Linked DNA regions of Lytechinus pictus. Each later gene encodes a partner of the first gene's protein in a complex. Links are inferred from orthologs where the notes say so. Each region holds a gene or a part of one and is shown in the gene's direction. Other genes may lie near its edges.

Region 1 (7,345 bases):
AGCATCCCAACTTGGTGGATACAACCCTAATAAAAGCCACCATTGTTATCAGTACTACTGTATTACTGAGGGCTCTGATATCTTGATTGTTTATCAGGAAAGAGAATTATATTTTAAGATGTAGGAGTGTAGATACCATTATAAAAAAAGGCACTACCTTACTGTGCACTAGCTGGCTCTGTAAGAGAAGTGATGTGATCCTATTGAAGAAAACACTGTAGAAAATTATCACCATTATGGGTAATTTTCTGATTAAATATGAAGAAAGAAGATTTGATACATTTCATATTAGGTACAAGAAAGAAGAATCACTAAATAGAAATATTAGTACATTGATAAAATATTGATGGGAGTTATGATCAATGAGCTTGAAGGTAAAAAAAATAAGATAAATGATGAAACATGTTTGTGATCAGAAAGCACTCTAAATTAAGTTTGCATAATCATCATTTTTCAGGGATGCATTTCTATCAAATTTTTGAAAACTTCATTTTTATTCTTATTTTGTAGTGTAACAAAATATCTTTGTTATACTTTTGTCAAGATTGTTATTATGATATACTTGTTATATCTAGATCCCAATCCACATCTGTGTGCTTCCATTACATTGGTGGCTGCATTTTGCTATTTTTGCATAGTGATTGACATGAACCAAAGATAAATGCCAGTTATGGTAATGATTTCAAAAGTATTTTGTATGGAATCCAATCATATGCCCCCCCCCCCATTGTCCTTTTTCAAAATTCAAAAATATGTGACAAAGGATTGTGGGAGAAATTGTGTAATTACTGAGAAATTAGCAAAATAAACATGGAATACGAGCAGATTGTCAGGTTTTTCCAAGCAATAATACATTGTCCCACATGTGACAAAGGATTGTGGGAGAAATTGTGTAATTAATGAGAAATGAGCAAAATAAGCATGGAATACGAGCAGATTGTCAGGTTTTTCCAAGCAATAATACATTGTCCCACATGTGCTTATCTGTGTTGGTGATCTACAGTGTAAGATTTCATAATTTCTCAAAGTTAAGTTTTCTATCATATCTAGATCCACAATGATATAGTGACAATTAACCTTGGTTTCGCAGACTTTCTCATGAAATCAGTGTTTACTGCTGCAACTACTTTGTTTATCTTGAATGACTTTTGGTCTGACATAGCTGTTAACTGGGGTTGAACTCATGACCTCCCAGTTGTGTAACTTCAGACAAGATTCACAATTCTATGACAAAGATCTCTCAACCAATGAAATGGCATATATCAAAAGTTTGCAGTTTGATTTTAATAACAAGTTTTATGAAAGAGAGCTTAGGGCCAGGTTTTCATAAGCCAATGCACGAATTTGATGAAATACGGTTATCAAAAGAAATTTATTTGATTCTATGAAAAGGGGAATGTGCTGGTATGTTGCGTTAACAGATTTAGTATTATATATATATATATATATATTTATTTTATTAATCATCATGAAATGTTTACACTTTATGATCAGATCAAATAATTGAAAATATGCAATAAATATCACTTGTATAGATTCATGCAAGGAACTTATTGCTCAGTTCCAGGAGGGGGGGGGGGTGTAATGAGTCACTCCCTCCTCTCACTTTAAGAGTATGACATCACGTATCTTTACCAAGATAATCATTAACCCTAATCCAGCGGGGGGGGGGGGGTGAATCAGCCTCGACATTTTCCATGACCATTCCTCTGCACCAAATTTTTGACCGCACCGATCGCTGACATTTTACTTTAAAGTCTTGCGCATCTTTTGAGACCAAATTTATGATGCCCGGGTATGCGGTACGATAATTACACAACATTATGTAAGTGCATGTCAGACCCAAAATTGCTCCAAAACGTAATTTTTTGTACAAAGTCAATGTAAATTGAATTTTCTCACCTTATTCACTTTTATCAGCTAAAATTAATTGATTTTAGCATAATTATGCTTTAAAAAGGTTCTGAAAAACAAAAGGTCGAACAACAAAAAAATACATAAGAAATTCATAAAACAATGAAATAAATAGTAAATTCATTTTCAAACCAAGATTTTTATTAATTTGTGATTGTTAGCAATGGTATAAAGAATATTTACACCAAAAATTAGCATTCTATGAGCTTTTTATAGTGAATTAGAGCAAAAAGTATGACTTAGCCTGGTCTGGTTAGGGCTAAATCAAATGTAGGATCAGCTGATTTTGTGAGGTCTCCTAAGTAAATACAGGAATATATCAATGTAAGTGTGCTCCCAAACAAAAAAAGACATGCTCCAAGCAGAAATCAAACTTAACTTTGCTTTAATGTCATTTAAAAAAAAAGAATTTCTTTTCTTAATTGCGGTTTCAGTGAATGAGACAAACTATCACTTCCTTGGCAAGATGGATAAATGTCATCTTTCCTTAGCTCTGTTCAGTAAGATAATATGGAAATGATATATTGTCTTATCATTTTCACCAAGGATGATTATTAACTTTTTGTCCTCTAAGGAGGTCCATAGAGCAGCCATTTTGGAGGAGAACAATGAAAACCTGTGCATTCAACTAAGATCAGTGGTTGCTTTTATGGATAGTGCACATGTTTCCCATTGTTATGTCCTCCATGGTGACGTCATGTGGCAACCCCCTCTATAGGCTTCTGTGCTGAAGAATTAGCCTTGATAAACATACCTTTTGATAAAGTAATAGAAAAGGATTTAGTATGAACTCTGTCATTATTTATAATGGCCACATGATCCATTGGAAATTAGGAAGGTTATAGGAGTGCTTTTTAATCCTTTTGTTCCTAATTGGCAATTATTTTTGCTTGTGAAAGGCCCTATGATAATTAAAAAAATAAGCTTATGATTTTGGTAACATTTTAATGGGCATATTCAATCTCGCTCATATATTAAAATTGAGCATTCTGATGAGGAATCAGTTTGCCGAGATCATGAATGGGCATTGATGATATTGAAAGTTGTTTCATTAAGCTGTTTCTCATCTAAAGGCTGCGTTACGAACCACTGGGATCCTTTCTTAGGAACTGAATCAACACTAATGGAAATCTGGTGCGTTTCATTTACCACAAGAAAGAATCACCAGTCATTCATTAAGTCGATCATTGCTTGAACAGCTTTATGAAAAACCCAACTGAGTATGACATATCATGTTTAATTCAAACCTTCTTTGGTGCTGACCCTGGGTGCCGACAGTGGTTAGCTTGTAATGATTCCAGTATTTTGGGGGGGGGGGGGTAAAACTCTCTTTTGATGAACTTCAAGAATGAAGATTATACCATATTAACAGAGAAAAGTGGTCTTTTTTTATTAGATTTTGTGCAATTCTGTATTTATCTTAAACATGAAATGAAATTTATTTAATTTACTTCTATTTATTTTATTTTTTTCCAAATTAATTGGCAATTTTTGCTTAAAGATTGCTCTTTGAAATGAAATAAGTGGAATATTAGGATGTTCAGTCAATTAACAGTAAGAGCTAGAGAATTAACATGTATACCTCAGCTGTCGTGTTATTTTTTTACATCTAAAGAACCCTTGACTCAACTAGGTGGTCACTGATGTAATAAAAACCATATTTAAAACAAAAATATGTTTTTGGTACTGGGTGTCTTTTATTTGAATTGTGATATGCATTACATCTAAACATTTGGAAGAAGTATAATGTATAAATCAAAATAAACCCAAAGTGGTTACCCTGAACTGCTGAAATGTGAAGATCAAGATGGGGTAAGCAGAATATAGAGAGGAGAGGTACATGTATAAGGAGAGAGTGGGAAATAGGGGGAGATGGGGGGTAGAGGTCAGGGAAAGGGGGATCATGGAAAGATAGAGAGACTGGTGTGGTGAATAGAGAGTGGTGGAATACAAGCGGGGAAGGGAGTGAGAGAGGTATAGATCGAGAAGAGATATCACAATAGGAAGCCGGGATATGACAAATACAACTGAAGAGATAGAGACAAATGATGAAGTGAGCCGGGAAGGGAGGGAGAGCATTATGGGGGGATGGTATATTAGCTGTGAGACGTCATAGCTTGAAGTGGATGAGATTTCATAAACTTAACTTGAAGTAATGTATAGCTTTTGCTGCTGGAGTATGGTATATAGTGCTGAAAAAGCAACCCCTTTTTTCTGAAAGACGTCTACGATGCCTTGGTGCCAACCCCCCCCCCCCCCAGAACCTTATTATATTTTCCACAATTTTCTGCTTTTTAATCAACTTGATGAACGCCATAGAGATATTTATTATAATTATTACATGTATTATCTATGGTGGTCGCCTCCCAAAATTTTGCCAAATGGTATTTGCAAAGTCAAAGCCACCACCACTCACAACAACGTGCGCGAAAACTCAAATTTCGTAGAAGATAGCCGGCCATCAGGCATCACAATCATGGATAAATCGAAACTTAGATCCAAGTCTACGCCTAAATCTGCTCATAAAAAGTCTAAACAGCGTATGTCGAAGGGAATATCTGTGATGTTTGTCGGTAATGATGATGTTATGCACCACATAATGGAAGAAGCTTCAGGTAATTCAACATTCATCTTTGTTCGGGACCCAAATTTAATGACGCACCCTAGTCCCACTTATCCAATTTGGTGAAGTTTAAAGGGCCATGATATTAACCCAGGGAACTCCCGACGCTGCGCGGGCGGGAGCCCAGGAGCTTACCGTGTATTTGACCATACTCACGGGACTAGCGTGATTTATGGTCTAAATATTTCTCCAAATGAATTGTGAAAACAGAAAGTATACAATTACCACGATTATAATATATGGATGAAGGTCTAACGAGTGGCAGATTCCTGACATCTGGGCACAGTCTGGAACCTCAAAAAAAACGAAAAGTTCTCTCCTTCTACCCCGTCTCGATCGGCCATTTTTGTTAAAAATCGTAACAAAATGGCCGATCGAGACTGGGTAGAAGGAGAGAACTTTTCGTTTTTTTGAGGTTCCAGATGTCAGGAATCTGCCACTCGTTAGACCTTCATCCATATAATCGTGGTAATTGGATACTTTCCGTTTTCACAATTCATTTGGAGAAATATTTAGACCATAAATCACCCTAGTCCGGTGACAATGGTAAAATACACGGTAAGCTTCTGGGCTCCCGCCCGCTGCGCGGGCGGGAGCTCTCTGGGTTAGTGATGGCTCAGACTGGGAAAACTTTAGGAATATAAGGAAAGATACTCACAAATTGACAAAGTCTGCATATAGGAAACACATAATTAAGAGACTTCTGTTTAGAGTCAAAGAAACAATTTTGGTCCTTCGTAAAAAGTCTTAGGAAAGACTCTTCGGGTATTCTAGAACTAAAAGACAAGGAAAAAGGTATTCTCTTCTCTGAGAACAGCCGGAAAGCTGAGATCCTTAATGATCAGTTTCGCTCAGTTTTCACGACTGAAAACCTGCAGACATTACCAAACTTCCCTCCTTGTAATATTCCCGGCATAAGTAACATAACCATTCACACCCCCGGTATTGAAAAACTCCTAAGGAATCTAGACCCTAAGAAAGCAACTGGGGTGGATGAAATATACCTCCTCGTATTCTTAAGGAATTTTCCCATGAAGTTGCGCCAATTCTTGCCAAAATATTTCAAGCTTCTGTTAACTCAGGACAGTTACCTGAAGATTGGCGTAAAGCCAATGTCACTCCCATCCACAAAAAAGGAGATCGTACAAAACCCGAAAACTATAGGCCTGTATCTCTCACTTCTGTTTGTTGTAAGATATAAGAACATGTGGTACATACCCATGTGATGAACCATCTTGAATCATACAATATTCTTAATAAAAGTCAACATGGTTTCAGAAAACTACATTCCTGCGAAACACAGCTCATACAAACCATGCATGACCTCTCTCTTTCTTTTGACAAACGGACCCAGACTGACATAATAATAACCGACTTTTCTAAGGCTTTCGACACTGTGCCCCATCAACGACTCCTCCTCAAACTCAAGCAATATGGTATTAATGGGAAGATTAATCAGTGGATCTCATCTTTTCTACAGAATAGATACCAGAGAGTAGTATTAGGGGGGGAATATTCACAATGGGTTAAGGTACAGTCAGGCGTCCCGCAGGGCACAGTGCTCGGACCCTTATTGTTTATTATCTATGTAAATGACCTACCAGACGGCTTGACCTCAACTGTACGACTTTACGCGGACGACTGCATCATATACTCTAACATCAAAACACAAAATGACGCTACTAGACTACAGAATGACCTGGACAAACTTTCTGCATGGGAAAATAAGTGGCAAATGAAACTTAACCCAGAGAAATGTTTTGTTCTTAGGATAACTTCTTCTAGATCACCTTTCACAACCAAATATAACTTGGGTGGCGTAGATCTACAGGAAACCACCCACCATTCATATCTTGGTGTCAATATCTCGCAAGATCTTAAATGGGACAAGCATATTTTCAAAATCACAACTTCTGCAAATAAAGTCAACGGCTTTATTAAACGTAACTTGCCATCATGCACAAAACTCACAAAAGCTACAGCTTACATAACTTTAGTCCGACCGATCTTAGAGTATAGTTCTAGCGTTTGGGACCCATATACAAAAGAGCATATTTATGAAATTGGTAAGGTGCAAAGAAGGGCAGCCAGAATGGTTTGTAGTGACTATAGGCAAACCACCAGTGCTACAAAACTAATGCAGGGGTTAGGATGGGATCTCCTTTCAACAAGAAGGAAAGTTTCGAGGATTGGTATACTGCACAAGGCCTTGGGGGGGCACCTGGCCCTGCCGGTGTCGGACTATCTACGTCCAGCGACTCGAGCTACCAGACGTACATCCGGAAGATCTTTCATCCAGTGCTCAACTCGCACCAATTGTTTTAAGAACTCATATATTCCACGCACCATCAAGGACTGGAATTCTTTACCCCCCGACATCCAATCAATTTCAGTCTCTGATAATTTTGAAACACAGGCAACCATATACTTTCGCAACAAAGACTTAAGCAACAAGGACTAAGAAGAAACAAAGTGCGCACTCCCATTTCCTCCTCGGGTGGTTCCTGTAATAGGAACGTTGAGGAGTATCACCAAGAAGAAGAAATATTTCTCCAAATGAATTGTGAAAACAGAAATTATGCACTTACCACGATTATATGGATGAAGGTCTAACGAGTGGCAGTTTCCTGACAACGAGGCACAGACTGGAACTTCAAAAAAACGAAACGTTCTCTCCTACCCCAGTCTCGATCGGCCATTTTGTTACGATTCATAACAAAAATGGCCGATCGAGACGGGGGTAGAAGGAGAGAACTTTTCGTTTTTTTGAAGTTCCAGTCTGTGCCTCGATGTCAGGAAACTGCCACT
Region 2 (7,411 bases), on another chromosome or scaffold:
GCATGAACAGGATATGAAAGAGGAGCGCGAGCTGAATTTTTTTCACACTTGAAAATAGGATGCGAATGCGATCGAAGTTCGAGATGAAGTTTGTTGATATATATCGACACGAAAAGGGTATGTTTTTAAGCACTGCTGACATGTAGGAGTGAGAGAGGGGGGGGGGGGGCATCTTGTTCAACACTTTACTTCATCTGTAAATATCATTATTTTACATTGATTTACATGTAGTTTAATTACCACTTACATAGCACCCTGTTGCTAGGCGACATCCAACAATTCTATAGGCGCTGTTTGTCATGCAGTTGCATCGTACATTCTTAGTTGACAGTGAGGTCATGAATCGTGGCATGTTCTGATATTGTTTTTTTTTATATATATAAACACAAATTTAGAATGAGAAACCAGATAAAGCACAAAAGTATTTCTAATTTCATTGTTTTTTTATATACAAATGCCAAATCACAACACGTTTTTCTCGTTGTGATTTCGTTTTTGTGTTTTCAAAAACCAAACTAAGGGGCTGATTTCCGTTTCCGCTTCTACATGATTGGAACAGAAAAACAAATTATCCATTAGTACCTTGATTGTGCAGGTTACTGGGCAAGTGAAAGTGACATTCACAATTGATCTTAGCAAGACATTCATTACATAAATGAGTAGAGTACTATTTCATATGATAAAAACTAATTTAAGTATGAGAATGACAATATTTGATTAGAGAATATCGAACTTCTTAACCGAAGTGCGTGACAATCAACAAAATATATATTTTCATCAAACGTTTAGTTTAAGAATATTTTTCTATGTTTCTGCTTTAATTATCATCAACTTTGCGTCAGGGTAAACTGCCCCCTTTAAGGGTAGGCCATTCGTGTCAATTAATAGACAACATTTTTTCCCCAAACAGTGCAAACGTGAACGAATAAATGAATATATGAATAAACCAGGAAATGAATAAGTTAAACAATACGAAGGAGAACTTGAAATAGTGATGCATTAAGCCTCTCTCTCCCACTCTCTCTCTCTCTAACGTTTCACGTATTGGCTTCAGTGAGGTAACAAAATATATTTGTTTATATATATAATAATATATGGTATACAGAGAGATCAAATCCATAAGTAAAAAGAGAAATTAACGATAATGGTTGGTCTTACATCAAATAAAACAAAAAGTTTAATACAAACAAATACATCAATTGTTTAATTTAAAGGACAAGTCCACCCCAACAAAAAAGTTGATTTGAATAAAAAGAGGAAAATCAAACGATCATAACGCTGAAAATTTCATCAAAATCAGATAAAATAAGAAAGTTATCACATTTTGAAGTTTAGTTTAATTTGAAATAATAGTTACATATGCACATCCAGGTCGGTATGCAAATGAGGAAACTGATGACGCCATCCACTCACTATTTCTTTAGTATTGTATTATATGAAATATGATATTCTCCCATTTTCTTCTCATTGTCAAGTGCAACAATTTCTCCCTGAACATATGGTTCATTCACGTTGGCCCTTATTGTAAAAAATGTGAAAAATGAAATATTGTATAATTAAAAAAAAAAAAATAGCGAGGCCGGAACTGTATCATTTGCATGCAAATGAGTTGTGCATATAGGGCCTATATCACTTTTTTGTGAAAAATAAGCGAAACTTTAAAAATATCACAACTTTCTTATTTTACATCCGATTTAGATGAAATTTCCAGCGTTATGCTAGTTTGATATATCTCTATTTATTCAAATCAACATTTTTTCTGGGGTGAACTTGACCTTTAAACAAAATATAAATTCCTTTTATGTAACGAAAAATAAGGTTATAACACCCTTCAACTACGACTAATTCAAAGAAGGTAAACGATAATTTTTAAATTCAGATTATACTTTCTTCAAATTTTCAAAGTCATTCATGCCTGAATGATCGAGGAATCTTCTAAGGATACCAGGTGAAAGAGAAGATATTCTAAGCTTTACAATGAGTGCCGTCTTCATTTTGTATAGCCATTATAACTTACAGAATGAATAGAAATAAATGAAAAATAAATGAAATGTATGGCCCTGTATCAACATAAGACCTCAGATAACAAAAAGATGAAAATATAACAAATAAATTAAATGATTAATGAATAAATATAAATACATTAATCAAACAATTAAAATAGATTGATAAATAAATTAAATGAACTTCCACACATAAAAAGAATTAAAAGCGAATGATACCTAACTCTGACTCTCTATATCACAATGATTAATGAATAAATATAAATACATTAATTAAACAATTAAAATAGATTGATAAATAAATTAAATGAACTTCCACACATAAAAAGAATTAAAAACGAATGATACCTAACTCTGACTCTCTATATCACAAAAGAAAAAAATAACTGAAAACAAATGAATTAAATGATTAATGAATAAATATAAATAAATCGACAAATAAATTTCTGAAGAAGTAAATTATTATATCTCCTTAATTGTTTATTTGGAAAATAAATTGGAGCCCCCCCCCCGCCTCCTGCAGCGCCGCCCATGATATTCTTTCCTTGTTTATTTGGAAAATAAATTGAAGGGCCCCCCTCCCCCCTACAGCGCCGCCCATGATAATTCTCACCGGCAGGGGAAACAAGCCCCACGACCACGTTATTTTCCATTATATAACAGCGTAAGGGGCCTCGATAACGAGTATACTACTATAGCCGTCATCCGAGCCCCACACACGTGCGAATGCTGGGACAAGCGCATTGGACGGGGCCAGTTTCGCGACTATCTTAGGATGCAAGCTTATTATATACTCGTGATATATAGGCCCCGCTACTGTGTTGGAGTGTCTGAAGTGCCGTAGTGCGGGGCCTATATAACGGTTATAGTACTATACTCGTGAAACAGGCCCCGCAAACTGACATTCTAAGCTATTCAACACAGCAGCGGGGCCTATATCACGAGTATATATAGTGAGCTGAAGTTAGCAACCTAGATATTGAGGTAGTATAATCGATTACAAGTTTTTCTCGAGCGGGGCCTATATCACGATTTTGCCTTTATGTAATAACGTAAGAAAACGGAAAATGGGGATGTGACATCATCAGCCCACCTAATATTATTAATAAATATTCATGACGACTGTTTTCACAAAATTATTATTTTATATTGCTAAACTTTATTTAAACTTCAATAACTTATTATTTGTTGTCCGATTTTGATGAAATTTCCGGCATTTTTCTCAGTGAATTATATTCTATGTATTAAGATATAAATATTTCCAGCCCGGACCATCCCTTTAATAATTAATTTGAATACATCGATGGAGCCCGAGTCAATAACTTCCCCTCAGGAGTCCGTCTTTATTTACAGCGTGTGCAATTCCTTTCGCACGCAGGTGAGTGTGTATAACCACGATTCCGTGACACATATACTTACGTATCACATGAGCGAAATCACGGTCGGAGTATATTCTATATACGGTACCGGTACTTGATTGTTGAGTGAGAGTAGATCACTGCCGACACTGGTACCTCAATCATTTACGGTAGTTTCAGTGTGGTATTTGTTTACCTTTCTTATTAATTCCTTCTCCTCAATTATCACCAACAATTACCCTAGCTGGAACTTCGAAGTTAGATAAATCAAACAGCAAATGTTAGACAATCATTGGCTTCGGATGTGGAGAGACAGTCTTCTCGTGCATGCACCGCCCGTATGCGTACGGTACTTCCGCCTAGCCTAAAAACTAGGGGCCGATTGCACGAAAGGGTCTTTCCAAGGACCGTCTTTCGTGTCGCCCATCTTTTATGATACGCCATGTGAAACGCATTTCAAATAAATTATCTGCAAATATATTTTATTTGTCCGTTAAATTAAACAATATATTTGTTTATAAAATGATGTGATATCTCATGAAATTGTATAAAATTTGATTTAAAAGCAAGCTTACGAATTTTATTTGTTTATCATAAATTTCAGAAACACCCCGCTTATAGCGCATCATAAAAGATGGGCGACACGAAAGACGGTCCTTGGAAAGACCCTTTCGTGCAATCGGCCCTAGGAAGCAATATGCGCAGAGCAGGGGGCGATTGCACGAAAGGGTCTTTCCAAGGACCGTCTTTCGTGTCGCCCATCTTTTATGATGCGCTATAAGCGGGGCGATTCGGAAATTTATGATAAACAAATAAAATTCGTAAGCTTGCTTTTAAATCAAATTTTATACAATTTCATGGGATATCACATCATTTTATATACAAATATTTTGTTTATTTTGACGGACAAATAAAATATATTTGCAGATAATTTATTTGAAATGCGTTTCACATGGCGTATCATAAAATATGGGCGACACGAAAGACGGTCCTTGGAAAGACCCTTTCGTGCAATCGGCCCCATATAGCCAGCCAAATCAGCACTAGCGCTAGCCAGAGCCTCGTACCGTACTATATACTCGGTACCGTGGCGCGCCATTTGATTGTGAGCGCGGCCGAGGTCGATCGAGAGCTAGAGCTAGAGCGGCACACACATTATATTACGGTAATACGGTATACCGGGGGAGCGTTTCATCAATATTTTCATCCGACAAGTTGTCAGATCTGACATCTTTCCATCATCATCATCATCATCTGTACGGGAGGGTAGGTAATATACTATATAGTCCTGTAGATCTCCCGGTCGTAAACACTTGATGCATAATTAAAGTCTACTCTAAGTCTAACCTAGACAGCTGGCAGCCGTCTGTTTCGAGGAGTTTTTTAACATTTTTTTATTTTTTTAATTTCTCCTCATACACAGACGGCTCGCTATCGTGCAGCCACCATTAGGGGACTTGCAATGCAAAATCCCCCCGTCGGGGCTCTTCAATTTTTGTCTTTAATAAATAAAATTTTTGAAAATTAACGCGACCAAAATGCAAATTAATATTCCCTCTTGGCATTAATTGCCAAAAAACAGAGAAAAATCAAGTTAAAAGAAACAAAAACAGTGACTTATCTCGGCTGTCGCGCAAATTCACTTCCCCGTTTTATCCGCTCTTAAGTACATAAACATATGGCCATTGAGTCCCCTGTACAGATCGCGCTAGAACTTCGGTCTCTGTATTTGGTGAGTGAAGCCAACGGAGTTCAGCTGAACAACCAACATAACAGAGACTGAAGCTTTTGGTCTAAGTCTAACCCAGAGAGCTCCCGCCCGCTGCGCGGGCGGGAGCCCAGAAGCTTACCGTGTATTTGACCATATTCAGCGGACTAGGGTGATTTATGGTCTAAATATTTCTCCAAATGAATTGTGAAAACAGAAAGTATACAATTACCACGATTATATGGATGAAGGTCTAACGAGTGGCAGTTTCCTGACATCTGGGCACAGACTGGAACCTAAAAAAACCGAAAAGTTCTGTCCTCTACCCCAGTCTCGATCGGCCATTTTGTTACGATTTTTAACAAAAATGGCCGATCGAAACGGGGGTAGAAGGAGAGAACTTTTCGTTTTTTTGAGGTTCCAGTCTGTGCCCAGATGTCAGGAAACTGCCACTCGTTAGACCTTCATCCATATAATCGTGGTAATTGTATACTTTCTGTTTCCACAATTCATTTGGAGAAATATTTAGACCATAAATCACCCTAGTCCGGTGAATATGGTCAAATACACGGTAAGCTTCTGGGCTCCCGCCCGCTGCGCGGGCGGGAGCTCTCTGGGTTACTCTAAGTCTAACTCTAAGTTCAGTGCGCGCGGGCGTGGATGTCAGACAATTTCAAAATGTTTGCTTGACCAAAAAGAATCTAATCCGTGTTTAAAATAATAATGAGTTGATGCTGGAGGACATTATAATACTAGTGTTGCAGGCAAACTATTCCAGGATTGAATCACTCTTTTACTGAAAAAGCTGCTGCGGGCATTCAACCGACAGTGAGTTGTGAACAGTTTGAAGGGATGACCTCTTGTTCCCTGATACTAGTATGAGACCTCATGAAGAGGGATTCTGTGTCGACTCTATCTCCTATACCATGTAATATTTTAAATACTTGTTGTAATTTTGTATCATGTCCCCTCATTCTCTGCGGTAATGTAAGGAGTACAGATTCAGTCTAACAAGTCTTTCAGTCACTCATAAGATAAGGAGTTAAATCCTGGAAATAGTCTTGTTGCTCTACGTTGTACAGATTCAATTCTTCTGTCATCGGTGATGAATCTAGGGCTCCACACAACACTACAATACTCCAAATGTGGTCGAACAAGAGCCTTGTACAGCCTACAGGGGCAGAAATATATCCGGTTTAATGTTCACAAATGCACGTTTGATGATGCCCAACATTTGGTTAGCTTTTTGGATAGATGCAGATACATGTTGATGAAATGTGAGTTCACTATCATCAATAAGAACACCAAGATCCCTTTCACAGTTGACATCAACCAGTGAACGATTATCCATAAAACGTTAGAGTATGAACGATGGATATTGTTATTTCCTATATAAAGAGTCTTACATTTATCAGAGTTCAGAGGAAGCTGCCATGAGAGTGACCATTTCTCAATGCCATTCAAATCATCTTGCAGTGATTGACTACAGTCAGGGTTTGGTACTCTGGCATAAATCTTAGCGTCATCAGCATATAATAGCGTAGAGCTTGAAGTAACGTCTGGCAGATCGTTTACATACATAACAAAGAGGGTTGGCCCGAGCACACTACCCTGCGGTTAGACCAAAAGCTTCAGTCTCTGTATTTTGGTTGTTCCGCTGAACTACGTTGGCTCCACTCACCATACATAGACTGAAGGGGATGGGGCCCCGTACCTACAGCCAACGTATAGTGAACTAGCGTTTTATAGATCGAGATTTTAAACTGTTTTTTAAGCAAAATTGAAAGTTTCATGGTTTCCATTATCAGGGAAATATAAATAACTTAAGTAATTGCATACCTTGGGCCGGAGTTATTGAAAAAAATCCTCTGGATGATTGAGAAATCTGTCATCTAAGACATTTTCACCTGACCTGACGGTTTTTCTTGCAAGTTGCCATCTTGAATGACGTCATTATCGTTATTAACTTAATGTCTCGAATCGATATATCGCGATTATAACTAGTACTAGTACTAGTATAACTAGTATCGTTTATCTTCGATTTCGTTCGCATATGGAGCAGATCGTATAATATCGAAAGCAATATCGATATCACATTCGTGATTGTTGACGTTCGTTTGTAATATTTTATAGTTTGGCTGCCATTTTGACCATTTTTATCGTGTTCAACCCAATTAAACATCGGTAAAGTATATTTTTCATGCCTTTTTCATCTATATCGTTTAAAGTATTTTGATAATTAAATATCAAGTTTTAAAAGTTTGTTGGTTATACATCCTTAGATTGTAAATTCGATGTGTAAAATTACATCAAACTTTGGACTGTGAATTGACAAAAGGGAG

Evidence for each region. Proteins that work in one complex are often made in the same cells at the same time.
Region 2: the proteins of origin recognition complex subunit 2-like (region 1) and origin recognition complex subunit 5-like are in contact, whole or in part, in a crystal structure (PDB 4XGC), measured with the Drosophila melanogaster proteins. The link is inferred for Lytechinus pictus from reciprocal best matches to the Drosophila melanogaster genes Orc2 and Orc5. Residues at the interface, in NP_731873.1 of Drosophila melanogaster: Asp438, Arg443, His468, Asn470, Thr471, Pro472, Leu473, Leu474, Trp475, Asp476, Gln477, Leu480, Trp487, Ser521, Ser524, Glu564; in NP_477132.1 of Drosophila melanogaster: Lys169, Ile382, Cys401, Asn402, Leu404, Ser405, Ile407, Ser408, Thr409, His412, Asn424, Ile425, Met426, Glu427.

The regions. Positions count from the first base shown.
Region 1 is NW_026974140.1:18,890,147-18,897,491, reverse strand, and holds the start of origin recognition complex subunit 2-like, read left to right. Parts: upstream 1-4,327; 5' UTR 4,328-4,390; coding exon 4,391-4,529; intron 4,530-7,345. UniProt on the Drosophila melanogaster protein: Component of the origin recognition complex (ORC) that binds origins of replication. DNA-binding is ATP-dependent, however specific DNA sequences that define origins of replication have not been identified so far.
Region 2 is NC_087247.1:38,510,330-38,517,740, forward strand, and holds the start of origin recognition complex subunit 5-like, read left to right. Parts: upstream 1-4,398; 5' UTR 4,399-4,627; intron 4,628-7,411. UniProt on the Drosophila melanogaster protein: Component of the origin recognition complex (ORC) that binds origins of replication. DNA-binding is ATP-dependent, however specific DNA sequences that define origins of replication have not been identified so far.